3 linked regions of the Struthio camelus genome follow. Each later gene encodes a partner of the first gene's protein in a complex. Links are inferred from orthologs where the notes say so. Each region holds a gene or a part of one and is shown on either strand. Other genes may lie near its edges.

Evidence for each region. The genes of interacting proteins can lie anywhere in the genome.
Region 2: the proteins of WDR48 (region 1) and USP46 are in contact, whole or in part, in a crystal structure (PDB 6JLQ), measured with the Homo sapiens proteins. The link is inferred for Struthio camelus from reciprocal best matches to the Homo sapiens genes WDR48 and USP46. Residues at the interface, in NP_065890.1 of Homo sapiens: Arg50, Trp77, Asp118, Tyr119, Lys121, Leu137, Arg139, Ser170, Tyr172, Thr188, Asp211, Asn212, Lys214, Ser230, Gly254, Trp256, Arg272, Ile364, Leu424, Lys425, Gly521; in NP_073743.2 of Homo sapiens: Arg181, Leu183, Asn184, Cys185, Glu186, Thr187, Cys222, Ser223, Glu224, Lys226, Cys232, Cys233, Ser234, Lys235, Gln236, Glu237, Gln239.
Region 3: the proteins of WDR48 (region 1) and WDR20 are in contact, whole or in part, in a crystal structure (PDB 5K1C), measured with the Homo sapiens proteins. The link is inferred for Struthio camelus from reciprocal best matches to the Homo sapiens genes WDR48 and WDR20. Residues at the interface, in NP_065890.1 of Homo sapiens: Val191, Lys207, Gly208, Gly240, Gln241, Gln242, Arg243, Cys244, Ile245; in NP_653175.2 of Homo sapiens: Arg20, Ser364, Thr384, Glu385, Asp386, Glu524, Pro525, Leu526.

What each region holds. Positions count from the first base shown.
Region 1 is NC_090943.1:6,909,335-6,919,381, reverse strand, and holds the start of WDR48 (WD repeat-containing protein 48), read left to right. Parts: upstream 1-5,004; 5' UTR 5,005-5,037; coding exon 5,038-5,085; intron 5,086-10,047. UniProt on the Homo sapiens protein: Regulator of deubiquitinating complexes, which acts as a strong activator of USP1, USP12 and USP46. Enhances the USP1-mediated deubiquitination of FANCD2; USP1 being almost inactive by itself.
Region 2 is NC_090945.1:57,618,955-57,629,526, reverse strand, and holds the start of USP46 (ubiquitin carboxyl-terminal hydrolase 46), read right to left. Parts: upstream 4,391-10,572; 5' UTR 3,849-4,390; coding exon of another isoform or gene 3,813-3,848; intron 2,746-3,812; 5' UTR 2,705-2,745; coding exon 2,624-2,704; intron 1-2,623. UniProt on the Homo sapiens protein: Deubiquitinating enzyme that plays a role in behavior, possibly by regulating GABA action. May act by mediating the deubiquitination of GAD1/GAD67.
Region 3 is NC_090946.1:71,324,989-71,335,650, reverse strand, and holds the start of WDR20 (WD repeat-containing protein 20), read right to left. Parts: upstream 4,391-10,662; 5' UTR 4,290-4,390; coding exon 4,026-4,289; intron 1-4,025. UniProt on the Homo sapiens protein: Regulator of deubiquitinating complexes. Activates deubiquitinating activity of complexes containing USP12. Anchors at the base of the ubiquitin-contacting loop of USP12 and remotely modulates the catalytic center of the enzyme.

The DNA.
Region 1 (10,047 bases):
CGTCTCTTGTAAAATATCAAATCCACGGAACAAGAGTGACATAGAGTAGCAGGCAAAAAGAAAGGTAGAGGGGGGATTTGCCTTCTTTGCTATTGTTGGAATGCACAATGTTATGTATAAAACACAACACAAAAGAATACACACACACAAACACAGAAATGGAATTATATTATAGAAAATACATAAAGATCTGCGTTTGTCTCTCAACAGATTTTACCCTAAGGAGGAACTGCAGGGCGGAGACTAAGAAACATTTCTGAGCTAAACTAAAGGTGTGCCCCAATCCCTTTTAGAAAAGAATGTAATAGCGTAAAGTAGCTAATGTATTTATCAAGATAGTAATTTATATGATTCCCATTTCCCATTGTTCATACAGCACAGCAGAGTAAGAAAGTACACTGACATGAAATTTCCTATCTTTTAAATAGCTAATTGGTTTTACAGAATAACAGGAAATGGCTTTTATGGTAAGTACACATTAAAGGCATTGTTACACAAAGTAGCTTTCTGCATAATGATCTAATGTGCACTGAATAAGACTGAAAATCAGCTCAGTGCCTAAAGACAGTTATTCCATCTATTTCTTCTTGGCATTCTGAAAAATATACTATTAGTATCTTTGAAGTATTTTGTATTCCTCAAAAGTAAGATGTTGTAAGAATGCAAAACATTACTATTATCATCTATGAGAGATTTCCAATCTTTCTGATGCACTGTTTTTCATACAGTTTCTTCATGAAATGTCACCTTTTATTGTATGGCTCCAGGCATGATTATGAAACGGCAAGTACCACAGCTCTCACAAAGACTGGGTCATTTGGTTTCAAACCTATTTCTTACTGCAGTTCCCTGTAAGATTGAAGTTTAAACTTCACCTTTTTGTCAAGGATGCAACTGGTAAATTTTTTGCAATACCAAGCAGCTTTGCAAATTAAAGAGAAACAAACAAGCCGTACATGTGAATGAACTATAATACAGTACTTAGTAGTTCTCAGATTACTGTGAAAAAACTAAACTTAAATCAACTTTCATGCTGAGATAATTATTCTCCAAAGTTCTCTTGTTTAAATTCTGTCCATCCCTCCTGTCTAGCTAGCTGGGGCATCTTATTTATCAAAATGACTCAAAATTTGTTTTCTTTCCATTATCCTAGTTCTACAGTTTCTACTCAACATCAAGCGGTAGTAATTAAAAATTAATGAGCAGTCACTGTTTTGCTAGTATATCCGCAGAGCCTTTTGCTCATACACGGTCTAGTTGCGATACAAGCCCAGACCCACCAACTGCCTTAGTGACTCAAATTTAACTCCCTCTCACTCTTCCACGCTACTGAAGAAACTAACTCCTGATCCAGTAAGCAAAAATGGCGTGTAAACTGATTTGCAGTATTTTTCATTAAACTTCTACAAATACTCACTCATTCTAAACCTTAACACGCGTACGTACTACAGAAAACTTGGATATTTGCTCGACCGTTTTCTACAACTACAACTTTATTTCAGATGATATTCTGCAACTTTCCAGAACTTAACCTAACAGAAAGAAGTGCAGTTTTAAACCCACTACTTACAGAGAACCACAGTAGTATCTGTGACTATTGTACAGGCTGTGTAAGCATAATTTTGTGACTTTTATAGCAGATTTTTGACACGAAGGTTTAAAAAAAAAAAACAGTGGGTTATATTACTTAAATAATTGTCTTGTATATGGAGAAGTGCAGAATATAAAATCCCAGAAAAATTCAGCCATGCAAAAAAAATTAAATAGGACTTAAGATCACCAAGTTTCACATCCCATAAAATACGGACTAAATACAGTAATTTCAGTCACATCAGAGTCATATCCATAAATTATATATTGGCTACAATACTTTTGGCTTCAGGCTACGTAGAATCTATCATGTCCATTGGGGATTTGTTTTCAGTGATTAGCTGGTCTTAAAACACGCATCTTCTTCCTGCCTCGAATTCATCTAGCTCATCTCCCAGCTAGGGAACCTATTATGGCTTTTCTTGATGGATTAAAGAGGTTTTCCTTTACGAACACCCTTTTCCACTTGTAGTTGCATAATTATACGAAAAAACAAAGTTGGAAGGGATCTCCTAAAAGCATCTAGTCCTTGCTATAGCCCAAGGCAGCATCAGCTACACTGATATAATTCCTAGAGATATTCGATACAGCAGATGGTGATTCCAAAACCTCCATACGGAACGTGTTCCAGTGCTTCACCATCCTGACTGCCAGAAAGGTTTTTCTAGTGCCTCATTTGAATTTCCTGAACTGTAATTTCAGCCCATTACTTCTTGTCTCATTCATCATGGACACGAAGGAGTTTATTCCATTTTTCTTTTTATTTATTTGAAAATAGCTATCATGTTTCCTCTCTTCTTCTGTAGAAAAAATCCATCTGGATTTTTCATCGTCATTCATACTTTTCAGGCCTCAAATCATTCTTATCGCATATTTCTGAATCCTTTTAACATTTTTTGGAAGCCTGTGAAAGTCAAACCTTACAAAGCAGGACTGGAACAGAAGACAGAAGAAGCAGGGAAATGCTATCGGACTCTTGAGTCTACCAGTACAGAGGAAATATTATCTTTATATTCTTACCTATTACAATGATTATTCACCCAATAAGCATTTCTATTCCTTGCACTTTCATCCTACTTTTCTCCTGGTGTCAACCTCCTGGCTTAACCCCTTGACCCTATTCAATTCTCCCTGCTTCCATTTTGGCTCAACCTTCTTTTGCTCACACTGGTGTTTTCAGAAGCTCACAATTTAGCCAGAGATGATTTTCATGGAAATTGAAAAGTCACCTCTGGACTCATATATCAAAACATAGTTTCCCTAATATCAAAAACCTCACTCAATACCCAAAGGAGGAACCCAAAATGGAAGCTTGCATGTGGAAGAGTCAATTTTGTCACAGTTAAACAAGTGAACAGAGGGTCTCACAACAAAAAGCAAAGAGCTAACCTAACAAATTAGATCATCTTATCACTTTCCTAAAATGAGACAAACGTGATGAAATGCTGAAAGTTTTACTGCTTAACAAAGAAAATCTTACTTACCGTATTTTTTGCATAATCTTACCCTTATAACTTAATGACTCTGGGTTAGTTTAGGCTTGCTAAACATACTCTCATAAAGCATAGAACCTTATCATAATTCATATCTTCAGCAGCCTTCAGTAAAAAAGAGGCAAATATGACAGTCCTTGGCCTAGACGATCTTCAGAGGTCCCTTGCAACCTCAATGACTGTCTGATATAAAGAGATCACTAGATCTTTTTCTACTTCAACTTAATGAATTGATGATCTGAAAGAATTAAGAAGCACTGTATTATATATATATAAACAGCAATGACTATCCATGAATAGCCAGCTCTTAAACATGCAAAAAATTTAAAAAATCCCATAATAACGTAAAGAAATAAAAGGTCCTCAGTCCATAAGTAAATTCAACTTTAAACCAAACATACAAAAAATGAACACTACCCTTGCAGACGCAACATGATGAGATGAATTTTATCAAATGAATAACTCATTAGTGATTATGGATTATGAAACGATGACTAGGATTTATGAATGAAATTATTACTCCAGTTTATCAAGGAATATCACAAAAATCATAAACACAAACATTTCACTATCTTTCAAAGACAGTAAGAGATGACTTTGAGGTATGCACAAAACTTGTGCAATTAGAAGAAATCTTCAGCGTTTTAATGGACTAACACATACTGAAATGTAGCGAGGCACTTTGCTCAATATTTACTTAAGCAGAAGACTTCACACTGCCACATTTTTCTCCAGCCCAGAATATGATAAGATAACATATTCTATGCATGACAGCATCTGAGACTCTTTGATAATTACTGCTGGCCAGAAGCCAATACACAACTGAGCTCTTCTCAGAAAAAGGTTTAATTTTATCTTAGAAAAAATGAAATAAATTAAACACAGTTTCATACTTGACTTATGAGGTGCCTCAAATCATATGCTTCCCACGACCATAATAAGGACAAAATAGTAGAAATGCTAGAGTTAAGAAAGCTTTGGTCAAGGAAGATCTCCTTCAAGAATCATACCCTCCACCTGCAGCTGTGATGAGATCCTGCTGCACTCAGCAATGCTAGAAGACACGATCTGTATCAAAATACACAAAGTTTATCTCTGTAGCAGAACTGAAGCAGCTACTGAGTCTTCCACATATGGCTGCAACCAGTATTGATCAAGAACATGAACCAACACCCTTTCTTCCTTACCCCTTTACTGATTATTTGCTCTGCCAGTAAAAATCCTTCTTTTTCACTAATTATCTGCTCATCCCACCCATCTCCTCTTCTAACCACCTTCACTGCTTTGCAGTTCTGCTGTAAGAACCAGCACCGTAAAGATGTCTTCCACCAAGGCAGTCCGCCACACACCACTTCACATAGCTATCGCCCACAAGATGAGAGCTCCTCAGGTGTCGGGGCGGGACGTCCACCCCGAAGCATGAGGCCGGCCCGGTCCCCCCCGAGCTGCCTTCTCTCACAGGGCGCGGTGTGGCCCAGCACCTGCTGGCCTCACGGAGGAGGGAAGGATGCGGCCCGAGGGGACGTGAGGGGGGATGGCCGTCCGTCTGACAAAACAACGCGCACCCGCTCTGCTCCCGAGGCGGCTCGCTATCAGCGCTATCCTCTTTTTGTAACACGTGAGGCGGCCGTGACAGGACAGCCTCACACAAGGGCTCGGGCTGCATCTCCCTTGCAGCGTTTGCCCCGCGCGGCAGGCGGTCGCCGTCGCAACCCGCAGCCCTCGGCCCGCGCACGACATGGCGGAGCCTCCATCCCGCGCCTCCATCCCGCGCCTCGCCCCGCCCCCCTCAGGCCCCGCCCCTCAGGCCCCGCCCCCTCGGGCAGCTCCCCTAGCAACGCCGCGGCCAGCCACACCTCCCCATCCCGCTACGCGGCTACAGGGAGGGAAAGGGGCGGGACTTCCGGCGCGGCTCACCCTCCTCGGAAATGACATCAGAGTGTCAACATGCAAGATGGCGGCGCATCATCGGCAGAACACGGCGGGGCGGCGGAAAGTGCAGGTGAGGGCGCGGCCCGGCCGGGCCGGGGGGCTGCGGGCGGGGGTAGAGGCGGCGCGGCTGCGGCCCGGCCCGGGGGGGTGGGGCGGGGTAGGGCGGAGCAGAGCGGAGCGGGGAGGGCCAGCGGGCGGCGGCGGCGGCGGCGGGGGGGGGTCAGGGAGAGGCCGGAGGGCGCGGGCCCGCCCCGAGGTGGGGGGGGGGGAGGCGCCGCCGCCGCCGGCCCGCGGGGCTGGGCCCTGACTGCCATCGGGGGCGGGGGGAGAGGGAATAGGGCGGTTTCCATGGCAACGCAGCCGCCTTTTTCTCTTTCCCAACACCCCCGAGGCCCCCCGCCCTCTCCCGCCGGCGGTGCGGGCCGCCTGGCACCGCCGCGGCCCTTGGAGCGCCCCGCGGTCGCTAACGCCCGCGCAGGGGCGGGCTGGAGCGCGGCTTGCGGCTGAGCTGGGTCAGGCGGGGCTGAAGCATCCCACCCCTCTCCCCTTTCCGGCTCCCACTAAGCCTTCCCTAAAGGAAGACCGTGGGCAAGTCAGTCCAGTGGATGGAAACTTTCTTAATGCACCTGAGACGTGATCAGGCTTTGCAGTGTGGCTCGTAGGGCAGGTGTCTATGTAGGTACGAGTATTCCGAGTAACCTTGCTGGAGTTTGGGAGTGCTGAAATACCTACAGAAAGTAAAGATTCTCTTTAACGTTGAAGTGGTTAAAACGGTTTTATTATGATCCTTAACTTTTTTTTTTTTTTCTCCGTACTACCAGCTCCTTAAATATTTTTGCAGTTTTAAATGCGGTAAAGATTTAATGTTTTATCACTGTGTAAAGCTGCCTACCTCTAGTGGCAAGTTCAAGTCTCAACTCTGTCTAGCCACTATGACCAAAAGAAATAGTGATTAATTCTGAAATAGTATCCGGATCCTTCCAAAGGTGGGTTCGGTTTTTGAATGCATCTTTTGTATTTTGCTGCGGAGAGGAAATGTAATATTTTCTAGAGCCTTTAGTGGTTTTCCGCAGTTAAGGTAAGCACTTGGCCTGTACTGTATTAGATAAGGAATTCTCTTACTCTTCCAAAAAAACCCTCTGGCAATGTCTAAAAGGCAAAGAATCGGAAATATAATATCCCTTTATTGACTTCATTACCTGTGTCATATGCAAGTTCTTGCAGGTTTTTCTCATAAGGAGAAGATATTTATGATAACTAGGTGGTTTTTTTTTGGTGTAATCCTATTTCTTTAGGAATTCTTATTTTAAAAAAGGAGAATTTTCTCCAGAACCTTTAAGGATAGGGGAAAAGACTTTCAGAAGAGTGCCTTTTGGGCATAGAGGAACTTCATTCATAACCTGACATGAGAGCTGGTTAAAGTTTACTGAAATCTGAACTATTATCTTAGATGCATCCATTTTACTGGTAAGCAACCAAAACAGTCGGTTTAAGGCACTTCTGTGTATCTAACTGTATGTGTTTGAGGGCTAAATCAGAGTAGACATTTTAAGCCTCAAAATAGATTCTGTACATAAATAAAGGTAAGAAATTTAAATGTAGATCAGGCACTTAAAATGTCGACTGGAATGCTGTTTGCATTTCTTAAGCTTAACTATGCATATATGAAGGCTGCAATAGTAAGGCTGCCTGAGCTGGGGAAGGAATGGGGATATAGTGGTGTGGGAGTAGCAGGAGCTATCTGGTGAGAAAGGGCTGGCCATGTGCTATGACTTTCAGATGTATTACTGTGGATTAAGTCAAGATGAATCCACTTTTCAGCAGATGGCTTAAAGTAGCTTTTTTTGAGTGACTGCATTGTAACTGTTCTCCCAAACCTGCTGCCTGGTCTGTATGACGCCCTCCACCCTCAAATCCCTTTGGCCCAAAGGGTGAATTTCACCATAAGTGATTTCGATCAGTATCTTGATTACGAATTTACTGAATCAATTTTAAGTACTTTTTATCATGCACTAAAATATGCTGTACATAATAAGAAAACACTTTTGCACTGAGTTTCTATCATGTTTCTGCACCAGTACTGTATCATGACAGCAACTGGAAACTAGTGAAACAAAAAAGCTCCCTTACATTTAGAAAATATTTCAGCTACTAATTTTCTTGAATAGTAGCCTGTATTAAAAGCATGCTAGAATTTAAATATATTAAATGCCATAATATATTAGTTTTTTTGTTTTTGTAATACCTAATCAAAAGAATAGGAAGTCAATTGACTCACTGAAAAATTCATCTTATTCACAATAGCTTCTATTACTTTTATTCTAGGGTCTGGAACTCCTGATAATTCAAATACAGACCTCTCCTTAGTTAACAACTTATTCTAAGGTGTATCATCTGCTCTACAAAGATGCTAAAGAAATAGCTTGCTTTTTCTTGATTTCTTCTTCTCTCTTTTTTTTTAATGAAATTGATGCCAAATGTTGTGGAATCCTTCCAGTAATTTTGAAAAATACCATTTTTTTACAATTATCTATGGTAGCACTTGTGTCTATGAAAATTTTCTCTGCTTAGGAAGAAGAAATGCACACTGTCAGATTTTGGCTGTTCACCTTATCCTCCACCGTGATGGTGTGCTGATATTTTTAAAGCAGATTCGAGACATGGAGATTCTGCCCATCAGTTAGGATAGTGTCTGTTGTAAGAGATGTAATCTCACATGGGTAGCAAAATTTCAGATTAGCTGATATACTTGTTGTCCATAAAGGAGAAACATCATAGGTCCTTCAAGAACTTCATTTGACTTGGTACGCTGAAATTTCTGTTGACTGTAGATTTAGCTCTTGGCGCTCCAAAATAGTCATTAAAATGATTAGTCTTGAACCGTTTAGGGTACTGAACTCCATAAAATCTTTATAATGAAGGCCATCACTTTGTAATGTTTGTGCAGCATCTACTGTAGTGAAACATTCTTATTCATTAGGGGATTTTGTAAAAGCTACTGCAGTATAAAAGTAGAAGGCCTTGGTCATTATGAAAATGTTTCATCTCCCACAAACCTTGCCCCGCTCAGACCATTGTGGCAATTACACCACTAGATCTTTATCATAGTCATTATCGTCTCTGTGGTTTAAAACTGATTGTGAACCGACCCAATGAACAAAGTAATAATGTGCACTTAGGCTCCCCTATTTGCAGTGTTTGTCAGGGGGTGCTTACAGATACAACTTCCTGCTGACCTTCATAGTCCTCTCTACATATATTACAGTACCTCATCTGGAGTGATAGAAGTGTGTATGACATGGGTTAGAGTTGAAGTTTATTGCGCAGTTTGTCCTCAGCTGAAAACCTATTTCATTTATGTTATTTACACACACATATGTGTGTGTTTTATATAAGCATATGTACATACACTATATATGTAAATGCATATATATGTTATGCATAATAAATAGCATACACAATTGCATATGTAAGCATATAAAGTATGTATGTATTCAAACATGTGTATGTGTGTATACTAATACACTTTTATATGCTTTTTTTAAAATTTGTATAGTAAATATAATGACTAAGGAAATGTTAATGTACTCAATATCACTCATTTTTAAGCAACTTTCAGCCCCCTCCCCCCTCCCCCATAATGGTATGATAGAGAATCACGTGTGGATTATCAGCAACTTTCCTCTGTTCATCTTAGTGACCTTTTCGTTTTTGTCAGCTTGCCTGCTGTCCCCCCCATCTTACACAACCGTCAGGCCTTTAAATCAAGGATGCCGTTTTTCTTACTGATCTATTTGAGGTTCTCTGTGTTAAGATGGGCATTTCAAGCATCATTTCAGCAGATTTCACACAAGCCTTATTTTGTTCCTCTATGGCATGTTAATATATAATTACTGTATTTGAATACAAGCCTGGATGCGTCTGGCATTGCACCTCTGTTTCTAAAAGTTGATTTTTTTTTTTTTTTTCCCAATTGAATGACTTTATGGTTTGCAAATGTGGACCATTTAACACTTTATGTTTTGGATGAAAAAAGAAATGTATTCTATTTTCCATGGAGGTAGCTGACACCTAGTAGGATGTCATTAGGCTCCAGTGGGAGTTGGAAAGTCAATATTTGTGCCATAGTTACCATTTTCCGCTCACATTGTGTTCATGAGAAGTGATTCATCATGCTGAGAACTCTTTTCCTTATCTGACTGCCCTAAAAATAGAAGCAGTGTTCATCTGAAAGGATGATATGGCATCCAGTAAACTTACTGAATGCAAAACCATTGCCTGTCATCTTAATTTTCTCCCCTCTTGTGCTTTCAAGGACCTTTAGTGAAGATAATTATTTAATATTAGAAATAAAGAATTAAATGGAACATTTACCTAATTTGCCTTAGTATCATTTTTTCGTCATAGAAAACTGGTTGTCACCGTTTCTTCCTGTGAGATGCAGAAAACTGTTGTTACCGTCCTTTATACAGTAGGGAATTGTTTTTCTTCTTACTCCTATATCTTAAACGTGAAAGAGTGTATCAGAAAAGGTATACAATTCCTTCTGTGAAGGGAAAATAAAGCTTTTAAAGTATATAGAATTGTAAGCTTTAGGAGAGACCAGAATAACTGGTTGAATTTTGTGAACAGTAGCAGTGACTGCTTGGTAATTTTGCGAGAGTCAAGCTTTTCTTGTTTTCTTGCCTTCATTTTTTCTGTCAAAGCTGTTGGGTGTTTACACAAAAAACTGAACAATAAGAACTAACCTTGTAATCTCTTAAGTTCACTAGTCGTTGCAGAGTTCTTCTGTCAAATTTCTCATAGGGAAGAAGGAGGATACTATATTTTATCCTGAACTGGTAGCAAGTTATATGTTTAGATCTTAGGTCTGCCACAAACTCATTAGCCCTGAAACAAAATAGTTGCTCTGATTGGCTCAATTTAGTCTCTGAAAATATAAATAATACTTTCCAAAAGATGTTTGACCAAGTCCACATGTGGATGTTATTAAAAGGAACCTAGGTCAAATCTGCATTTCCTGGTTTAATAA
Region 2 (10,572 bases), on another chromosome or scaffold:
AACGATCTTAAAATTACAGCACGCCTATTCACCTTTGCACCAGCATTCTGTACTTGAGTCATCTGGGTTATCTCATAGAAACAATACCAAAGAGGATTTCAGTGCAAGTACAGGGGCTAAAAACACATCCCTAATTTTCGCCTAGAATCTGCAAGAGTTACATGGCACCACGTGTTGGAATTTCCCTACAACAGTGCTTCTTGAGTGCATCCTATACTTCTTCACATCTACTGTATCATTCCTGATACAGCAGATACAGCTGATGATTGCCTGTCATATACCTCCTGTGGCCAGGGGTGCAGACATAGCCTGTGAACTTCCCCAGTGTCTGAAAGGCAGATTAAGAGCAGCACTTTTGGGAGTCCTCCCTCTTCAGTAAGGGTGGCCAGTGTGCCCATGTCAGAGTCCCACTGGCTCCTTCAGGAAAAGGTGCCTCTCACCTTCCCCAAGCAGAACAAATAGGAGGTCTTTGGTCTCATTTATCAAGTCACTGAATAATAATTAATAGTGCTGTTGTTATAATTAGGAGGACAAAACTAGGAAAAGACAACAAAGGAGTTCTGCTGATTAATTCTAGAAGTTGTGGGTTTGAAGTTTTACCACAAATCATGTGCCAAGTGTAAGGCACATGAGAGGTTTATACCTTATCTCTTTTCTTACTGGCTAACTCTTACTGTGTCAGCCTCAGCATATGAGAGCTTATCTAGTGAATGTATAGTACAAGGCATTTCTTTTGCAAACAAGTTAAAAACTCACCCTTGCTTCACTAAACTGGTTTTGACCCTTCCTGGAAGACACTGAGTCTCTATCACCTTCAGGAGACCAAAATGACAATCACAGGTACTATTAGGTAGACAATTAGGTAGCAAGTACACATCCTACAACACTGACTAGCCAAGTTCTCTTGAGGCAAATTTACCCAGCTAAATTTCATCTAACATTTCCCCTCCAGGACATGAAAACGCTCAGATAAACAAAACAAAAATCATCATCAAGAAGGGACTACCTCTGAAAATATATAACCTATGTTGCATTCAGGGAGGGACAAATACTTATATCAGCACAAAAAACAAACTAACATAAAATCCCCAACCAGGCATCATCCATTTTAGAGGAAAGTGGTTAGGAAAAACAACTCTCTAAACACCGTCAAATGGAAAGGGAAAGCAAAAGGAAAAAGAAGGATTTTTTTTTTTTCATTACTGTGTTCAACCACATTAAAGGACTTAAAAATATGTTATCATGCTGCATTATATAGCAAAACATATTACCTAAGAATTAAGGTCTTTACTATGTAAATAGTTCAGTTCTTCAAGCACTGAGGTATAGTACAGGAACAAGATCTGGGAATTAATACCTTTGTCTGGTAGATTTCTGCAGGTGCCCTAAATCAAACTAGCACTGCAAATATACAGTTTTTATTTATTTATATTGTTTGCTTATATATCTCTAACCTTGCAAAGTCCCATTCTTATGCAATGTTGTCATAACTCCTTCTAGAGTCCTTCGAGTCCAAATCCGCAGGAGCCCCCCACCTCATCTAAATGGACTCATTTATAGAGGAGCCATGATGCAGCGCTACCAATACCTACCTATAACTTTCTGAAAATCTCAGCTTTGCTCTTCCTAAAAGTACTTCCTGTCTCCGTCTCTATTGTTATGTGGAAAAGACTAAATGTGACCAGCATAACACAAAATCTCTAAAAGCAAACTATGCAAAGCCCAAGGAATACGTAGCTTTAGAACCTCATTATTGTTAAACCAGTGTCACCCACTGTCACCAGTACTGATATCATAAGCCAGAATTGCCTTGAGTTTTTCTGCCTGAGATTCTTAATTCTTCCCTTTAGTGTCACCATGCTACTCAGTGTCTCAGATGCTACTTTTCTTTTGCAAGATACACTATTAGTGTCTGAGTGGCACACCATCAAAATCATGTCATTGGTTTTGCTCTGGGTCTGTTCAGGCCTTGGGACAAATATGCTGTACATAAAGTGCATCTCTCTGAAGCATGCAAGAGAGAAATCTTGGAGGTTGTAACACCTTATGCCAATGTTAACGTCTTACAACCATCAAAGAGTCTCCAGCTCCCCTTCATGCAGTGCTCTAGGAAGCGTTTTGCAGAGCATTACACCTACCATTCATCAGCAATAAAAACTGGAGCCTGCCTAAAAGGGAAGGTAAGTGAGTCCAGGTTTTCTCCTCTGTACAGTACTGTTACCTAAAGCCTTTTTTGCAGTATCCTTGGCCCATTGGCTCACAGGACTGAAACCTATCAAGAACAATGAAAAGTTTAGAGAACCGCTTACTGTTAGTGAAGAAAGCTGAGAACCCAGGTTATTTTACCCCAAGGAGTCTGGATTTATTTTTCTTACTGTAAGCGCAAATCCAGCCCTCCCTCTCTGCACGTCAGAGCAGTCGTTTTGAAGGAAGGACTGAGGTATATGTCAGAACTATGTGCAGGATGCTCTAGGCATCTGGGTGGAAACGAAAAAGCAATCCCACTGAAGTGGGAGCCTGCAGACATGGAAGGGGAGGAGGCTGACAGTTCGTGCCCCCCACCCCCAGGCCACTGCTGCTGACCCCGCAGGAGCCAGGCCTCTGGGGCTGTGCGTTGCCTTACCCTAGAGGTAGGCTCCATTCTCCAGGGCAGATGAATGGTATGTGTGGCATCGCCAGCACAGGGCATGCTGGGGCACCACATGGAGGGAAGCTGGCAACTGCATGTAGCTGCTCTTGAAGAACCTGGAAATAAGGGGGAAAAATACAGACTAAAACAACAAAATGCGTGGAAACGGGCTCCTCCTCTGTTTGCACTGGGGTACTTAGCACTCACCCACGCCTAGGACAAATTAGCTACTGTCTCACTGTATTAATAAACCCCTTCGACAGGCATACTTTAAGTTCTCCCTTCCCTCACCAAAAAGTTTTAAAAATCCAAAACCAGTCAGATGCTCCAGGTTTGTAGAGTCGGGATTAAAATTAGACTCAAGCACACAGAAGAAACTGTCCTTTCAACTTCTCCTGGGGATGAAAGTGGCAAAGTCTCAACCTAAACAAAATATTAACATTTCATTATTCCTTCCTAATTGTCTAGTTTATGATTAAAGAAAGCTCAGTGCTTCCAGGGTACTTTACAAACAGCAGGTCCTTTGAGTGGCATGCAGTGCAAAAGAAACCCTGAAGTTAACTCTAAAGCCAAGATTTCCCAGAACAGGTACTTAGCAGCTGGATCCGAAAGCCTACAGTCACGCATCTAAACCAGCGTCCTCATTGTCTGTGTAACCCAGGGAGCTCCTGGCCACATGAGACCACAGGGTGCCTGCCTGGGAGGGTTAACTGGGGCCACTGAGTTAATGAGGATGTGGATTCAGAGCCGAACTTTACGGTTCTCTCGCAACATTTTTCGGGCAGGAGGAGGAAGGGCAGGCTGCGGCTCCGGCTGCAAGGCGTGTGAGCCGGGGCCAGGCCGGGGCCAGGCCGGGGCCAGCCCGCTCCGGACCGCCTGCGCGCCGAGGCTCCGCGCACCGGCCCGGCATCCCCGTCCCTCCCCGCCCCGCTCCTGGCGCTGCTCCGGCAAACTCCTGGGGACACCGCCGCTCCCCGGCGGCGAGCTGCACCCCGGGCTCGTCCCGGCGCAGCCCGCCCGCCTCCCCTGCCACCGGGGCCGGGATGCGGTCGCTTCCTTTGCCCGGCGCCCCTGGAGGGAGCCCCCCGGCCGCCCCTCCGCCGGCCCCAGCAGGGCCTACCCAGGAGGGGCTGCCGTGCCGCCCCCCGCCCCCGGGCCGCCACGCCTGCCCCCAAGCACTCACCATATTACAGATGGAGGCGATGTTTCTGACAGTCATTAGTCTAAAGGTTGCAGCGATCCCACACCGCCATCTTTATAAGGTGAAACCAGCCCCGCTCATGGTGGGAAGAGCGCAGGAAGGGAGAGGGGGCGGCGGAGGAGGCTTCTGCTCCGGGGCTGGGATAAAAGCGAGAGGAGGGGACTGCACAGGCACCCTAGGCGCCCGCAGAGCAGCCTGGAGGAAGGACCTGCCTGCCTCCCCTCCGGCCGAGCGACCGGCAGCTTCAGCAGCGCGGCAAGAGCAGCCGCATCTCTGCTCCTTCCGCCTCTCCCTCTGCACGGTCCGCAGGGCCGCGGGCTCCCGCTGGAGCGCTCAGCCGCGCCTCTGCGCCAGCCGGCACCGCGCTAATCTCTCCCTTCCTCCTCCTCCTCCTCCTCGCCTGGCGGCTGCCGTTGCTGCTCGTCGCTCCATTGCAGCGCAGCGCCCAGCGATCCGCTCTGCCAGCGCCAGCGAAGGGACGGGAAGGGACGGCCGGCGGTGACCGGCCGGGGCGCCCCGCGGGCCCGGCCGCCGCCGCAGCCAATGCGCTGCGGGGAGGAGAGGGGCGCGGGGGCCGCTCCTGCCGCCCCGCACGGCCCGTCGAGGGGCCGGGCCCTGCTGCCGGCGTGCTGCCGCGGGGGCACCGGGGCAACGCTAACCGCCAGGCCTAGAAGGGCCGGGGAACTGCAAAACCCAGATCTCTTTAAATATATGAAATCATATTTGCAAGAAGGAGCAGAAGGCAGGGTCCAGGCAGGAACACATGGATGTTTAAGGGTGGTAGCAGCACTGTACCTTGGGATGTGCTCCCTCCACCTAACTTTAGGTACGCAGGAGCCTGGGCACTTCTAAATCCCAGAACTGAAGGCAGGAATCTAACTTACTGCCTACAGCTGGTGCTTTGCTTTGCGATTTATGCAGACATTTACTTTCACAAATGTTGTTTAGGGAACATGACCCCCCACATCATGATACATACTAGAGCCCAAGTGCTCACTCACAAGCTCACAATGCCTGGAACATATACAACACCCTTAATGCATTAATCTCAGTTCATCTTCAAAACACTCAAGTAAATTGAGGTCCATGCCATTCTGCAAGGTATGAGTATATTAAAACTGCACATGCAATAATCTGCACATGTGGTAAACAAGGATGTTAAATAGCTAACTCTTGTCTTAACAACAAATCTCTGAGAGAAACAAGAACAGAGTTCAGCTAGGACAATGTCTCATCTTGGAATTCCTCTCTGCTTGAGCGGAGATTGTTGTTATCAGCAGAAACTTAAGAACACTGTATTTTCATCTCCTATGCTGAGGAAATCATCCAGATGAAGAGAGAGAAGAACTGCCAACATCTAGGGATCTAGGAGATGGGCATGCCTCCTCCTAACAACACCTGGAAATATGGCATACTCATGCTTGGCTACACTTTTCACCTCACAATGCTAGAATATACACATTTTGGTCTATAGAGCCCGGCCCCACATGTTAATTACAGAAAACATTCCAAAGTCACTAAAGTTTTTGAGACCCTGGATTGCAAGAGAAGGCCTCTGACTGTTAATGAAAATCTATCACCAGCCAGCAACATCTGAAAGATGAATTCTTAGCCCGAGAATACTGTTAGATAGCTGGCCTCAGTCCAGTTCATCATGGACAAGTGCCCACATTACAAAAATGATATCAGTTTGGCATTAGTTGGCATCCTGTTGACAGTTTCAGCAAAGAAACCCAGAACTGAGTTGTTATGGAGACACAACTTTCTTTCCTCAGTAACTGGAAGACAATATGGAGGAACCTGTACTTCTAACACCTCTCTTGAAGATTTGTTGTAGGCAATGGACTGAAGTCATAAGGTCTATTAAACTATTTCACTGCGAAGCATTTGCTCCCTAAATCTACAAATTTGCTACATAAAAGAATTATCAAATAAAGTAACAGTGAGAAAAAAAACCCATCCTTTGTGTTACTCTATTATGCTCATGGTCTTATGCTGCTTATGAATTTGACCCCAAGTGTTTAACCTGCTTAAACTCCAAGGGCTGTTTATGAGTAGTATCACAAGTCTTTTTGAAACAACCAAGAGAAATGGGAATTAAAACAGAGATGTCATTTCAGGACTGGCCACCCCCAGGCTCAATTCTGAAGCAATCAAGGCCTGAATCAGTCTCCAGTGCATTTCAGAACAGCCTATGGAGACAGACAATGCTGCACCATGGCTATTTTTTTAAAAAAATCCCTTTTATTCAGGTAGCCTAATTCTGTATTCTTTGCTGCACCCCATTTATTCCAATTTACTGCAAGGAATCACACTTGTCTCAGTGAAAAAAATTACAAAGCAAATGAATGGTTTTGAAGGGTGATTAAAAACTGAAAAGAAACAAAATGCGGTAACTAATAAAGCCATTTACTTCAAGTATATTCTAATGTGAAGGATATTATTCCCAGAGCATAAAACACAAAGAAAACACAACAAGAAGGAGCATAAAAAAGTTTAAAAAAGGTAAGCAGCATTTTCATGCTTTTGCTTTCTTGCGGATCCCAATTACCTGACTTCAGGATAACTTCAGATGTTTGTTAAACATTTCTGTTAAATTAAACAAATTGCTATTAGTTGAGCAAGTTATTGATTGTCCAAGGAAATGGCCATTGTTGGAAATAGGCATATTTCGAAATATAAAGCATATACATATATATGTACACACACATATATAGATGCATATAGATATACACGCATGCACATATCATCCTCAGAAGATTTCAATGTCATTTTCCTAAAGCTTATATAGAGTCTTTCATTTAAGGGTATACATATTTCATATCTTCTTTTGGAGGATTTATGATAAAAATAGGAAATAATACACAAGTGTTTATATGCCAGTTTAACAATAAGTTTAGCACTGACTTTTTCTGCTCTTCAGTCACAGATCAAACTAGGAAATAGAAAAGTAACTTTCATACTTGAAATGGGTTGGTGTGTGTTTTGTTTTTTTCTGGTGTTGTCATTTTCAGAACTAGAAACTTTATTTCTGTAGCTTTTTGAAGATAAAGTGCTAAGAAAAGCAACTAATGCTAGTTCCTAACATTATAGGAACTGTACAAATAAAGAACAATGAATAATTGTTTCCACTCCAAAGTATTACCCTATCTCTTCATAACAAAGAGCTAACCCTGTGTTTCTTTTCAATGTTAAACAAAGAGGAGGAAAACAAAGAGCTATTTATAACCTAAGAATGCTTATATAATTTCTGTTGAAAGGTCAAAAAATGTCTCCCGCATTTACTTTTAGAAGTAAATCAGTTTTGGTCATCTGGTTATATCCTTTAACACTTTTATTTCACTACATAAAACAAGCACCTATGGTAAATATCCTCTTTGGCTAACCGTGCTTTGGACTTTAATAATGTATTCCCTCTGAAGTTCTGAGAGTACTTTGCAATCATTCACTCAGCCTTGTCAAATTCCTGGGTGGCAAGTTAATATTAGCCTATTTTACAAAACAAGAAAATAAGCAGCAGAAGTGCAGTGACTTGTCCAAAGTTACACAGGAAAGTTAGTAGCAAAACTGGGATTAGAATACATGCTTACTCTGTAATACAAAGAGGGTACTATGCTTCCTCTTCAGAAATCTTAGAGAATTCCACAGAGGATTCATTTACATTTTTATTGTAATAAACTATGGTCCAGAAACAGGTGACCATCAGTAAATTATGCTAAGCAGTGCTTGAAACAGACTCAAATTCAGGATATATTTTCAGGTTTAAAAAAAGCTGAAGTGGCTTTAATGGTAAGAGCAATTAAAACAATACTCAGAAGCTTTTTGGAGGGGGTGGGGGATTTGGAGGATACATAGTAAGAATGGAAAAAGAACTCAAATACCTGAATTACATTATCAGTACTGAAAGTATGCTTACAATTTTAGAAACTTTTAATATTTTGAATATCACATTATTTATGTTCAATAAAAATTATCAGTATGTCTTTGTTAGGATGAAAAATACGCAGATGATGCAAGCAGAAAGACTAAGAACAGATACATAGCATAGAACACTGAGGCTACAATTTCTAAATTTTATTTCAGTTGAGGAGAGGAAACTTTAGCAACACATACTCTTCTTAAAGTGTAGAATTTTTATTTTTGAAACAGAAAGGTATCCGGTATTCCTGCAAACTAATACAATCAAATTATATGCTATATAAATACTGGGCCAAATCTATTTGGCCTTACTCTATCTGCATAACACTATTTCCATTTTCAGTATAGTCCACCATTAATTTCAGCAGAGAAATAGTCCTGAAATCAGCTCTCAGGACCCTGCTCTTAGTTCTCCCAAAGTAATACCAACTCTGATAAGTAGAGACTATTTAAAAGTTAAACAATTGTGCTTTCCTATGGAAAAAGCCAGGAAGCAGAGAAGACAGTAGTAAATCCTGTGCTAATCCCTTTCTGATTTTACCAGTGGATATTTTCCATGAAGCTTGGCCTCCATTGCAGCACTGCAGATTGGGAGCTTTACTACAATGCCAGTTCCCAATTTGTAGTCCATGCAGAGAGGCCATAATACATGGGTTGTAGTAGGTCCATGGAACCCACTGTACTTACATTTAAAAATCTAATGGTAAGAGTGGATTGTAGTCCATGACAAATTGATGGTGATCCACAAAAAAAAAAAAAAACCCACAAACAAACGTGGGGGGTTTACTGGGGACTCCCTAGTCCTCCCAGAAATGTAGAATCACTAATCTTCTTTAGGATGGTATCAGCTTTGCACCAGCATCTACCCCTCTTTTTCAAACGATCTAAAAAGTTATTTTTCTTGATTTAAAACATGTTTATGCTTTTTCTTCACCTTTACAATCTTAGCAAGTCATACTCCCGCTTACTGAATATGAAGCACAGAGGATGAAACTTTGCATTAAATTCATGCCTGTATCTACCCTAGCTTTGTTGATACAGACATTATTCTAGTAGGTGGAGAAAGAATACTGTCTTTTATTTTTCTTCTTCTCAGAAATTGCTATTTTAAAGAAAGAAAACAAAATACAGTTATAGCATCCGACTTTTTTTATAGTTAAATGTCAGATTTGAACACCAAAAGACAGCAGAACAAAGTAGATGTAAATATATTGATGTCTAATACTCCAAAAGCTGGCTGAATAGATAAAAGAGATTAATAGTTTTGTGTTTGTAACCATTAAACAGTTCATTCTATGAACAGGCTCTTTAGGCCTTTACAGGCAATTTGATGTTCAATAATGACCTAGAGGTGTGATTATCTCACAACGTCTTACTCCTGCTTTTTTCCTCCTACTTGATCATGTTTCATAAAATTGCATTCCCGATATAAATTAGGAGCTTTGACAACAACAGCTTAATATTGGGCTACAGCTTCATTGATTTACCTAATACTGACCTTTACTGACACACTGCTCAGCTGAAAATTCTCCCTCATTTCCATAAGGTAGAAGCTTGCAGCCTCTTTATTATCTGGTACCTTGTTTAGCAAGGAAGTTCACTTGTGAATTTTACTGGCATATCTCTTGCCTATACGAAATGTACTTTGGGAAAAATGCTATGTAAGTTCTAATCATTAAGTATCACCTGGGGGGGAGGGGAGGGGGAGACCAAACCTTAGTCATGGAAGTAATTTACCAAAAAAGAAAAGACTCACTGAGCAAAAATAACAGAAAATTTAAGTTTCTTACAGAAATGTATTGCTATTTCTGCCTCTGGAAAGGAAATAACAATTCTGTGTTGCCTTTGCTTTCTCCAGAGTTTTTATTTATCATTTTTGTTCTAGTCTACGGGCTCTAATTTTAAGTAATTTACACTCTGAGAACAAAACACAATGGATATTTTGACAGTAGACAAGCTGCAAGTGGCAGTTGATCTACTGTCAGCATGAATTTAAAATAGTCCTTTCATTTTATGTAAATTGTGGCATAAATTAATTAAATTATATTTTTATTAAATTAGCAGTATTACTCAAAACCTAGCCTTATTTGATGCATAAGTAAAGAAGACCGCTGCAGTGTAAGGTCTCGATCTTGCCAATTATTTAACATGGATGAATACTAACATCCATCTGTAAACACTGACAGTCATCTCACAAAAGTTTACTTGTTTGGTCTTCCTTCGTATCAGTGTGGAGAAAGACAGTGAAATTGAAATAAAGCATTAGTGATAATTGTGAACTTCTTTGTGAACTAAATACATGATGTTTTTAAATAAATGAAAGCCTTCTCTTAGCTTAGATAGGAATCAAAGCAGTGACTTTGAGGTGAAATTCATGCATCTTACGAAGATAGACTTTATCTGATGATTAGAGCACCAGTTTTCAAGACCTGAACAGCTGAATTCAGACATATAAGCTTAGTGCTAAATCCACAAAATAACCAGGCACCCAGCTGTCACTTAGCTAAGCTCAAAATGCGACTTTCCAATCTTCTCAGTGAATGCCTAAGCCAGAGGTGCCCTGATGTCTAATGGGCCTCTGTCTAGATCTAATAACACTTACTGGCATGGTTGAACCATGTGCCTGATAGCTTTCTCCAGGGCATGTGCAAAACCTACTAACTCCTCACACCGGCAACAAGCAAAGGCTCGTATTCACCATGAGGTGACTGATGTGCAACAAAGACAGCAAGTAAATGCCTGAATCTTTAGTGCAGCTCTTTAAATGATTGCCCACAAAAATACCCTTAAATATTTTTGTGTTCAATAGTCAAGTTCCCACAAT
Region 3 (10,662 bases), on another chromosome or scaffold:
CTAATAAATCATTTTGCAAAGCTAGCCATAAACCAAGTTTAAGTATGCCAAGACTGTATCATAAGCAAGAATCAAGTTACACCCCTCACTCTTGATTTGGGGCTGCAGGGAAAGGGATACCCCTCCAAAGCATCAATACATTATAGTTTGAGTAATAGTTTCTGAATGATTTCCTCATAACCCCTACTCCACGAATAAACAAACTCCTAAAACAAAGAAAAAAAAAAAAGCTTCCTGTACGACCTAGAACTCTCTTAAGCATGATTAAGTCAACAATCCACAAAGAACAGATCATTCCGAATCTGACTAAAGGCTGAACTGAAGGCTTTAGTCAGGTAAGGCTTCACAAGACAGCCAATTGGATCTGACAGCTCGCCACCACTGAACAGGGCAGTCTTGCTCCCTTTCCCAAACCCTTTCTTTGTACTGACTGTTCCTGCTATATCCAAACCCAAAGTGAGATGGCTAGGCCCACTGTACTGAGAGAAAACCCACCCTGAAAAATGTCAGTATTTACCAGCTGGTTTAGCAAGCTGGACTGGCTCAACCAGAGGGTGAGTAGTGCCAAAGCCAGCAAGAGGGAGATAAGAGCGCGCTGCCAGAAGGATGCTACACTGCAAGACCATCATTTTCAGCTGTCCCTAAATCAGTTAAGTTCATGGAAATTCACCACTTTCATTTAACAAGACATCATTGTACACATCTAGCCTCAAAGTCAAAGCTGAGGAGGACTGAAAGTGAAAGCCAAATAATACTCAGTGCAGTCAGGAATAATTATATATTTTGCATAAGTAAAGCGACCACATCTCATTCCATTACAGTTTAATTTCTCTTTACTTAACTATAGGCTCACTTCCCTTTTCAGTGGATCCAAAACAGAAAGTAGCAGTTTTCTGGAAACCTTCATTGCCTTATTAATAAATAAATAAAAAAAAAAAAAAACTGTGCAAATTTCAATATGAAAAAAACACTGGCTCATAACAGATGTGCTTTCATTGAGGAAGGTAACATAAAACCATGAAATAGTAGAAACTCAGCTTCCTTTTTAAAGATGCAAAGAAGAAATTTGTGTTTTCTCCATAAAGCCTCTAAGGACAGCTCAAAGTGCTGTCCAACCCTCTTCCCTGAACTATCATCATCATATATCAGCATTACAAGTTCTGCACGACTGCTCTGGGAGCTAGACATAACTTTTAATCCAAGTTTCTTGAAAGAAGGATCAAGGTTAAAGAAAGATCCCTGGAAATGGTGATCCTCACATAAGTTTCGTTTCCTAAATAAAACACACACAGCAGTAGTCTAGGTAAAAAGACAATTTACAAAGTAGATATAGCAGATAAAGCATATCTAGTATCCAATGGAAACTAAAAGAATAAAGTTTGGTATCAGTGATTTTAAGGAATAGCCTTTCAAGTAGTATCTTTGACTCAGTATTCAGACCATTTATTCTTAAGCATCATCCATGGCTTAAGCCTGAATCTTACTTGATGTGTACTGACCTGCACTGGATTACCAACGCAAGAATTATCTAGGTACCTAACATACACGGCTCCTTAAAATACAGCCCTCATGACTCTTTCACTCATTTCAGTAAAAGTGTAGAATTTTGTCAGCAAGAAGCGGACCTTAAAAAAAAAAAAAAAAAGAAAGAAAAAAAGCAAGCTACCAGATATATACAATACAGCTTCACTAACATCATCTTGTTCTTTGTGTCATGCAGAGATTCACAGATCAGTCAGTTTTAAATGCCCATCCCCTCCCCAAACAGAAAGGCTTGCAAAGAGTTTGATAGTTTGTCCAGTTTAAGAGAGTGTTATTCACTATCAATTTAGGCAACAGTAGCTCTCTTCTGTTAGGATAGCTACAAAATACGTAACTTCTGATTTTGAAAAGCTCAAATGATCATATCAAAACCTTGTTCTCATGTCAATTTTCTACATAGACAAAACAATGACTTCCAACTGAATAATTTCAAAATAAGTTCCTAAGGAACAAGTATTACAAGTTTAAGATAGACCATCTTTCCCATTCTCAGTTAAATTATTTACATTAAGCATGTTTTAATCTATTTCAGCTGTTTCTCTAGGTTCATTGTACTAAAGTGAATGTTATATATATATAGGATATACACTATTTTTTAAAATGGTAATACTGTAAAAGCTTATTGAAACAAAATCTGTTCTGGATGAGTATGTTTTACACTAATCAGAGAGAAAAAAATAAAGTATTTAATGTTGTAACAGGTATGCCTCAAAGCTCACAAGTTAACAGTTTGACAAACCAAAATTTTCAGTTACTGTGTACCGCAACACACAAAAACAGCTTTTAGTATCTAGAGAAAAGTATTAGAAAAATACTTTGAGCTTAGCCTTTTAATTTGAAAAAGTTATTCCCTATTTTCAATGTACTTCCAGGATTTAGATTTTTATTCTTTGCAGTGCAGTAAAAGATGACTAAGACAACTGGTAAGAAACACATGTAAAATTACTACACTACATGAAGACCTGCTCTGCAATATAGATTAGAGAAGTCTGCAGCTACTTGTATGGAAAAATGAATCCAAACATGGCAATAATTTAAGAGACGGATTTTTAGAGATAAGTGCCACCCACAATATCTTGCAAGCATTAAAGATAGCAACTGCATGTTTGATACAAAACACTCATCAGGTACTTAAAGAAATCTTTGTTTAAATATTATTTACAACATAAGTAGATTGTTAAAATCCATTAAAGCGTGAAACCAAAATCTGTAGGCATTTTTTTCATACAATTACATAGGACAGATCTGTCAAGTCATAGTCAACAGATACCCAGGCAGCTTTTATCTCCAGTTAGCGCTTACATTTTATATAGGTGGAGGAGTGATGTGGGCACTAGCTTAAGTCTTTGTAGATTCAGGTATAATTCTTTGCTCGCCTACAAGCTTCCTGCGTGACCTTGGGTACGTCACTAGTTCTCTGTGCCTTCATTCCCTGTTGCTTGGTGGGCTACAAGCAGGAAGACTCCAAGGTACTCACATTATGGCTGCTGAGTCTCAAATACGTAAGGTAACGAACATCCACTTTTCAAAGCAGAAAACAGAAAACTGACAATCACGACATCTATGTTTACATATATTGAGTGACGTGCATTCACACAGCATGACAAACTCTGAACGCCCCACTAAATCCCATGAGGCCAAGGACCCTAATAAACAACAGGCAGAACAAGTTTGTTTATAAATACAGTGAACTGAGACATCAAAAACACACGCTGTTAGCCGTGCATCAAATATTAACATTTAAGGAGGATCTCTTAGGTTGAATCAACATTTCTTTCCTATAATAACAGCTTTCTCTGTGTTAACTATTTGACATGTAGCTCATTGCACTGCCCCCATTTAGAGACAATCCTAGAAACAGTCCACACTTCAAAGCCACAATAAAGGCCTAAAATTAAAGTGAAAGCTGTAACTACTTGGTTAAGGCTAGGAAGATATGCTCTCCCACCATCCTGGAAGCAGGGATCTGACATCACCATAACCATGCCAAGCATTAGTGTCCAGCAACCTCACACCTGAAGCAGCAGGTGAAAGAGGCCCCGAGTTGCCTCACTATTGGAAAGCCAGCCCTCACCCCTGTACGCCAAGGAGGGGCCAAGCAATCACATCCCTTAGAAGGGCCCCCCACACACCTACCGCTGGTGACAACCGTATTTTGACGTAGCCCTTCAGCACTAAGCCAGCGCCAGTCCACCTCGCACAGCCCTCCAGGCCAGGCCTACGCTCCCCCTCCTCGAACCGCTACCCTACGAACCAGCTGATCGGGAGAGCAGCTAAAGCGGCAGCTACAGCCGAGCCCCAACCGAGGAGCTGCCAGCCCCAAGGCGAGGCCCCGGGGGGCCCGAAGGAGAAGCGGCCCCGCGGGGCGGCCCCAGCCCCCCGCCGCCCCCCGCTGGCACCCGGCGAGCCCTCGGCGGGGGGGGCGGCCCGCCGCGGAGCTCCCCCCCAGCCCCTCTCCTCGCCCGGCGGCCGAGCCCCGGTACCTTGCGGACCCCCTTGTAGATGTAGAAGTACAGCTCCCGGCCCACATTGAAGCAGAGCCGGTCACCGTTGCCGCTCTGGTCGTTGACGTTGACGAAGGAAACGCGGACCGGGTTGGAGCCCTGCGAGTTGAAGGGCACCCGGTTAGGCCGGCTGTACTCCGAGTGGCTCAGCAGCTTGTACAGCCCCTCCCGGGTGGTGAACTGGGTCTTAATCTCGTTCATCTCCTTCCCTCCTCCCTCCGCCGCCATCTTGGAAAGGAGCATTCATCCTGCCCCAGTGCCCGGATGTAGCTCCACTGCGCAACCGCAACCGTCGCCGCCGCCGCCGCCGCCGGGGCTCGCGCGGCCCTACGCGGAGGCGGCCACGCAAACGGCGTAAAGGGGCGGAGCGGCGCTGCCTGTTTACTGCCCGTCTGCGCATGCGCCAGGTGGCCGGCCCTTGGGTGGGCGCTGGCGGCGAGGGGCGGAGCCTCGGGCGTGGGGTGGGGGCGGGGCGCGTGCCGGGCGGGGCGGAGCGGAGGCTGCGGAGGGGGCGGCTCAAGATGGCGGGGGGCGGCGGGGTTGCGCCTGGCGGGTGCGGGGCGGGGGTTGTACCTGACAGAAATTCGTCGCCTCAGGGCCGGAGCGCCTGTCCCTGACAGCGCGCGAGGCGCGATGGTAACCACCCCCGCCGCCTGAGGCGCCGAAGCTGGATTTCGGTGTGCGCCGAGCAGTGGTTTTTTGCAGGGTTACGATAACGGCTGTGCGCGTTTGAGCCTTTTCCCCGGGTGGTCACAGAAATGGAAATGGGGTGCCAGCTCCTTGGCTTTCTGTACTGAGCTACTGTTTTGTTGTGGCCCAGGCCAGCTTTGCCCGCAGGTTGTCACTGGCGTGTCCTCGAGGTGCCAAACTGCTGGCTCAGGTGGGGTTTCTAAGGCTGGCTGGGAGAGTCCCGCGGGGTAGCAAGCCTGTTGAAGGGGTAACAAATACAACATGCCGTTCACGTTGCAAGTCAGGCCAGCACTGCTCCTAAAGGAAGCAGTACCAGCATCCCTCCAGCTCGGCACTGGTCTCTGCTTAAGCTGATGGCTGCATGCAGAGCCAGGCTGGGGAGTTGGCCCAGCTGAACATTAACCTGCAAAACTGGTTGTCCCGTAATGTACTTCATTGTTCTGATCGTCATCCAGCTGGCTGTGTTGCATGGTGAACCAGATCAATGCCCCTTTGCCCCTTACAGGCACAAGGGAGGAAGTTGCACGGGGTCGGAAGGGATTGTTTCACTGGGTAGGGAGGAAAGACTTTCTTTCGGCGGCAGCAGTTTCGGTTTAAAGAGGTTGTCGTAACTACAGCCTCGTGGCTTGAAATTATGGCTGACTTAAGCTAATCTAAGACTGATCTCCCACTATAAAAAGGGGTTTTGATCTCTGTCTTCAGCTGCATATTTTTACTACCTCTCTTGCATCAGTTCTAGCAATCGTGCAACCAAAGGTTGAGTCAGAGCAGCTTGAAAGCAGACCCCACAAAAAGAAATGGCAGGTTCTCAGACAAGGAAACTGCTGATCAGCAACTGAGCTCATCCAACTCATCCCAGAACTGGTAAAGCCAAAATAAGGGAGGAGTTAGGAATGTGCAACTGGGAGAAGCTAAGCAGCACAGAGTTAGATCACCTAAAAGTAAAAATAAAAAATGCACTTTAAAGGTATAGTTTCATATTGTAACTGAGTTGGTCTAATGTGGCTGCTACCAAAGGAGGTGTCCTGCTCTCTTCATTCCTGACTGTGATTATCTGCTGCTGCTACTTCCTTCACAAGCAGTGGTGCTCATCTGACCTCATGGGGAGCCATTTCAGAAAGATAAATGGGCAGAGAGTTAACCCCTCCTCTAAATGTGAAATGAATGGTATCAGATGAAAAACAGTAACTGTGTAGGGGAGGGGGCAGGAATGTGTGGCAGAGCAGGAGGGAAGCAGGACCTCTACCTCCCTTGCTATCCATTAGATCAGCTCAACTACAGAAGTCCACTCAGACCCCAGGGGGCAAAAGGGATTTAGTCTCAAATCAATTTAGTTAAAAATGATTTCGTTTGTGGCTAAATACCATCTTGCTGCTGAGCATCAAAATATTATTACAACGTAACTGAGACACATGAAAGAGCTGAAGACCTCCAGGCTAACTCATAGAGTAGATATCCGAGTGAACAACTGAACAGGTACAGATAACCTTTAAAAAGATCGGGTGTTGGAGCCTTGCTTGGAATTTGTGAGATAAATCCAATCAATAATGACCAATAGATCTTGTCAGCTTATCAGCCAGCCCTGCCAGATGGTACTGATGACCTCCTAAAAGCACATAAAGTAGGTGAGTAGAACTGTGGTTATTTTAGGAATCATCATCTTGAGAGTCATTCTTTCATGCAGAAATGTCATGTACAGACTTCCAAAGAGAAGAAGATCAGAATGTTTTCAGTCATCACAAGAAAAGCAGGAAATGCAAGGATCTCTAAATAATAATAATATTCAAAGCAGACAGGAATTTAACCAAGAATGTTAATTGTTGCTCCAAGCTGGCAGACTTGGCATGTCTTATTCATTACACAGTGATAACATTGGCAAGGTCACTATGAAAAACAAAGTAGGCAACTTTGGTAGAAGGATTGCGTGGAATGCAAATCTTACTGAAAGCACAGCAGGCCATCTGTCACTGATGGAATGAGTGTGATCCAAAGAATAAACAACGTTAACACGTACCTGGTTATCAGCAGTACATGATGGTGCAGAAAGTCAAAGACCTGATGTAGTGTTTAACATTTACCAAGAAACATCAATAAAAGCTGCTGAGAGATTCCACAGAGAATCCAAGACAAATATTCATTTCAAAAACACAGCTGCAAGTCACAAGAACACTATTGTACAGCCCCATCAACAGTCCTTATCAAATACTTGGTTAAGGAATGGGAAAAAAGAGATTACACAGTTAAGCCTCATGAAAAAGTTCTCTGTGCCACTGTAAATTCTTCTGTTTCAAGCTAACTAAAGATCATAGTTCTGAAATAGTCCCATGAGGATGCCCATAGATGTGTTATTTTGTAGGCACTACACAATCAATACATCAAAAGTCAGTCAGAATCACTACTGAATCCTTTCTTTACTTCTCCCAAATGTTTTGGCAAGTTGGAAAACAGACATGAGCAAAATTGAGTAGCATTCATAAAATAGTGTGATCCTCTGAGATCAATTTATGTAGAATATAATTTGGTCCTGCAATTTTTCAGGATGCAGCATTAATAAGGCTTTTGCTGGCAGCAGAAAATTGGAGCCTTAAGACTTATGCAATGTGAGTACAATTATCAACAAAACTTTTCTGTGCTTGAATTTGCGAGCCATCTGTTACTTCCCTAAAAGTGCAACAACTGATACCAGTGAACGCTTTTATCAACGCTTCTGAGCCAAAGAAAAGGACGATGACTACACCCATATTCTATCATGCAAAAAAATGTCTATTCTAATATGCACTGCTTGCAGAGGCAGGCAATCAGGAGACCATCTCTGCAATGTCTATCTACTACAGCAGGTCTGTCAAGTCTTGCTTGGACTATTGATGCCAAAAAGAATTTAAATATTTAGTGGGTGACTGACTTCAGAGTATCAAAAGCTCTGCAACATGTCATTTTTTACGGAATCTATGAACGTGCATGAATTACTAGCAGGCACAAGTACACAGAGATCTGCAAGCAGTACATCTGAACGAGTCAAAAGACTGATGTTGGTGAGAAGGACATGCAAGATCCCTTAATGTAATACAGGGAGAAAAAAAAAATTATGATGTTGGAAATATATTTCCTATGACTTACCCGTATGGCTTACCCGCTTTAACAGACATCTAACCTGCTTTCAGCATGAGAAAATATTGTTTATGGTATATTTTTAAACAATATAAATTGTGAGTTCCTTATTTGTATTAAGAATCTTTTCTTAAGCACTGCACACATTTAACACTAAAAACATTGATAATACATTGTGATATATATTACAAAATGAAAGGGTATTTTCTAAGCAATTAAGTCTGTACTAAACTGGAATATCGTGTATATTGTTTTTTCTCTCATCACTCCCCAAGAGGAAAAGCATGTGAAACATTTTGTTTTCATAATTTTGGGTTGTTATTACTTAAAAAAACATATTTTTAAGTACAAACATTTAGATTAGAGAAGGCAAGGTGAAAGAAATATGCTTTGCAGTTGGGAATGGATGAGAGTGAACTCTCTTGTGAATTTGGATGAGTTCATTTTGCTGTTTGCAGTCAATCTCCGTGAACGTTGTCTCCTGCACAGACTAGGTTACCTCTGTAGTGAAGAGTACCATTCTTATCAATAACATCTCTTATCTTGAAGCTTTATATATCCTGGAGATTATGCTCTCTAAAGATAAGACTGAGATTATGAAGTTGATTTAAATCCAGTGGAAAGATTGGTTTTATAGGCCTACAAATAGTTTGTATTTCTAAGAGATGCTACAGCATTCTGTACTTCTCAAAGCTCCCTAACTATGGAAGTCATCATATCCATGCATACGGTATCGCTATAATCCAGCTGAGGAATGACAAAGCTGTGAAGAAGTAAGGTTCTGATTGTTGGCCAGCAGCACTGATCAAGGTTTCGTATGAAACTCAAATTCCTAGATGGCGATGATTGTCAGTGATGCACTGTGAGAGTTTAGCTCCATCAAGAAGGCCAAGAACACTCAGTACGTAAATACTGCAAAATTATTTTCTCTGCTCATCAGAATCACCTCTTTCGTTCAGCTGATTTTTTATTGTGAAAGTCATCTTGGTGATAGTGTTGTGATAATACATGGTTATTGATAGGCATTGAGGCTCAAGCAGCCTGGAGCTGGCATGAGCAACAGTTAGTTAACGGTTAGCTAACCCTGCAAATTAACAAGAAAAGTAGCTGCCGTTGTGTGACTTAAGGCTCCCTAAGCAGAAGATAAGGAAAACTGAAAAAAATGAAAAAAGTGTCCTTGGAAAGATAACGAGTGGACTTTAACAGCCAAGGGAGGAAAAGCCGCCTTTATGGGAAATGATATATAATAAATAATAAATAATAAATAAAGAACTAACAAAGTTGTAAAAGGTGACCAGAGTCAAATGCCTCCGAACATTTTGAACATAAAAGAGATATGTCTACATGGACCTCTTAAGCTTATCCTCAGAGCCTCAGGCTCCCATGGCATCTGGCTAACTGATGGTGAGATCTTTTTAAGGGCAACTATAGATCATATGCTTAGTTTTGCGTAGTTTTATATGATGTATTAAGTAAAGTTTGCTTGTTAGAGGATGAGCTGTGTCCTGGCCACTCAGCTGCCTAGTGCCTAGATTTAGCTCTTTGGCAGCAGCAGAACTGTTGTTCCTCTGTATATTGTGTGCTGGCACTCTAGTTTGTTGTGTGAAAAAAGACTGGGGAGAGAATTGATTCTTCTAGAAATCCACAAGCAAAGAACATTCGGATAGAGTCGTTTTTTTCTGTTGCTTTGATGTATGTCTCAAAAAAGGACTGGAAACCTGTTATCACATTCCACATTTCCTTATTGCCTTTCTCACCTGAAACAATACTGTCTCAGAATAAACATGTTGTTGCAGAGAGCTTCAGAAGAACGGCTATCTGCTTGCTGTCCAGTCACAGGAGAGGATTCTCCATCAGTGTCACAAGTGTAATTTCAGTTCCATGGCCTGAATGACTGACTCCAAATTGCTTTAGATGAAGCACTGACGTTTTATATAGATTATGTTCAAATCAGCCTTTTCATGAGCTTTTCTATGAGCAGCCTGAAGCACTGGAGCTTTGGTAGCAAAAGCTGCTCATTCAGTGCGAGTTGAATTATTGCAAGTTTAAAGGAAGGAGAGCTCCCTTCTCTGAATTATGCACTGGCTTCATTATTGTCATGGTCAGGTTGCTCATGTCTCTTTTTGCAAGACAAGAAGGGCATAAGTTAAATTACCAAATCTTAGACATCCCTCTGGCATCCAGGACATCTTCCTATCTGGGAGCTGGAAAATTGGTGAATGGATATAAGCTATGTACGGTTCAAGAAAATTTCCCAATGCAATCTTTTAATCAAAGGGGGAGTATTTTTTATGCTACAGATTTTGTAACCTTAAAGGCAAAGAGAAGAGGGACCGGCTGAGGAGAAGGGGGATTTATTGCTATGACACGTGTATTTTTATGTCATTACCATATGTAGCTTACAATTTCACCACACAACAATTTTAATGCATCATAAAAAACTGTCAGCTCTCAGGCAATGGTCTTGGGTCCCTGCTCTTCCAGTTTACGTGAAACAATCATCCTTATCCAGCTCATACAATATTATATTCTGAACTAACATATACTTACCAGTAATCATTTAATCAAGTACACATAGTCCTGTGACATTTGTTGTCTTTTGCCTCCGTGTTTCTATGGCCAGGTGCTATGAATTAACATGATTTATGTCATTTCCCAATATCTGATGAGTTAAATGCCAGCTGATGTATATTCATATACCGTTATTTTTCTTTTATTTTCTTAAGTAGGTATAACCAGCTAAAATCAAATACAAGGCTACATATGTACTAAGTTTTAACATATTTTCACATATGTACTAAGTTTTAACATATTTTCT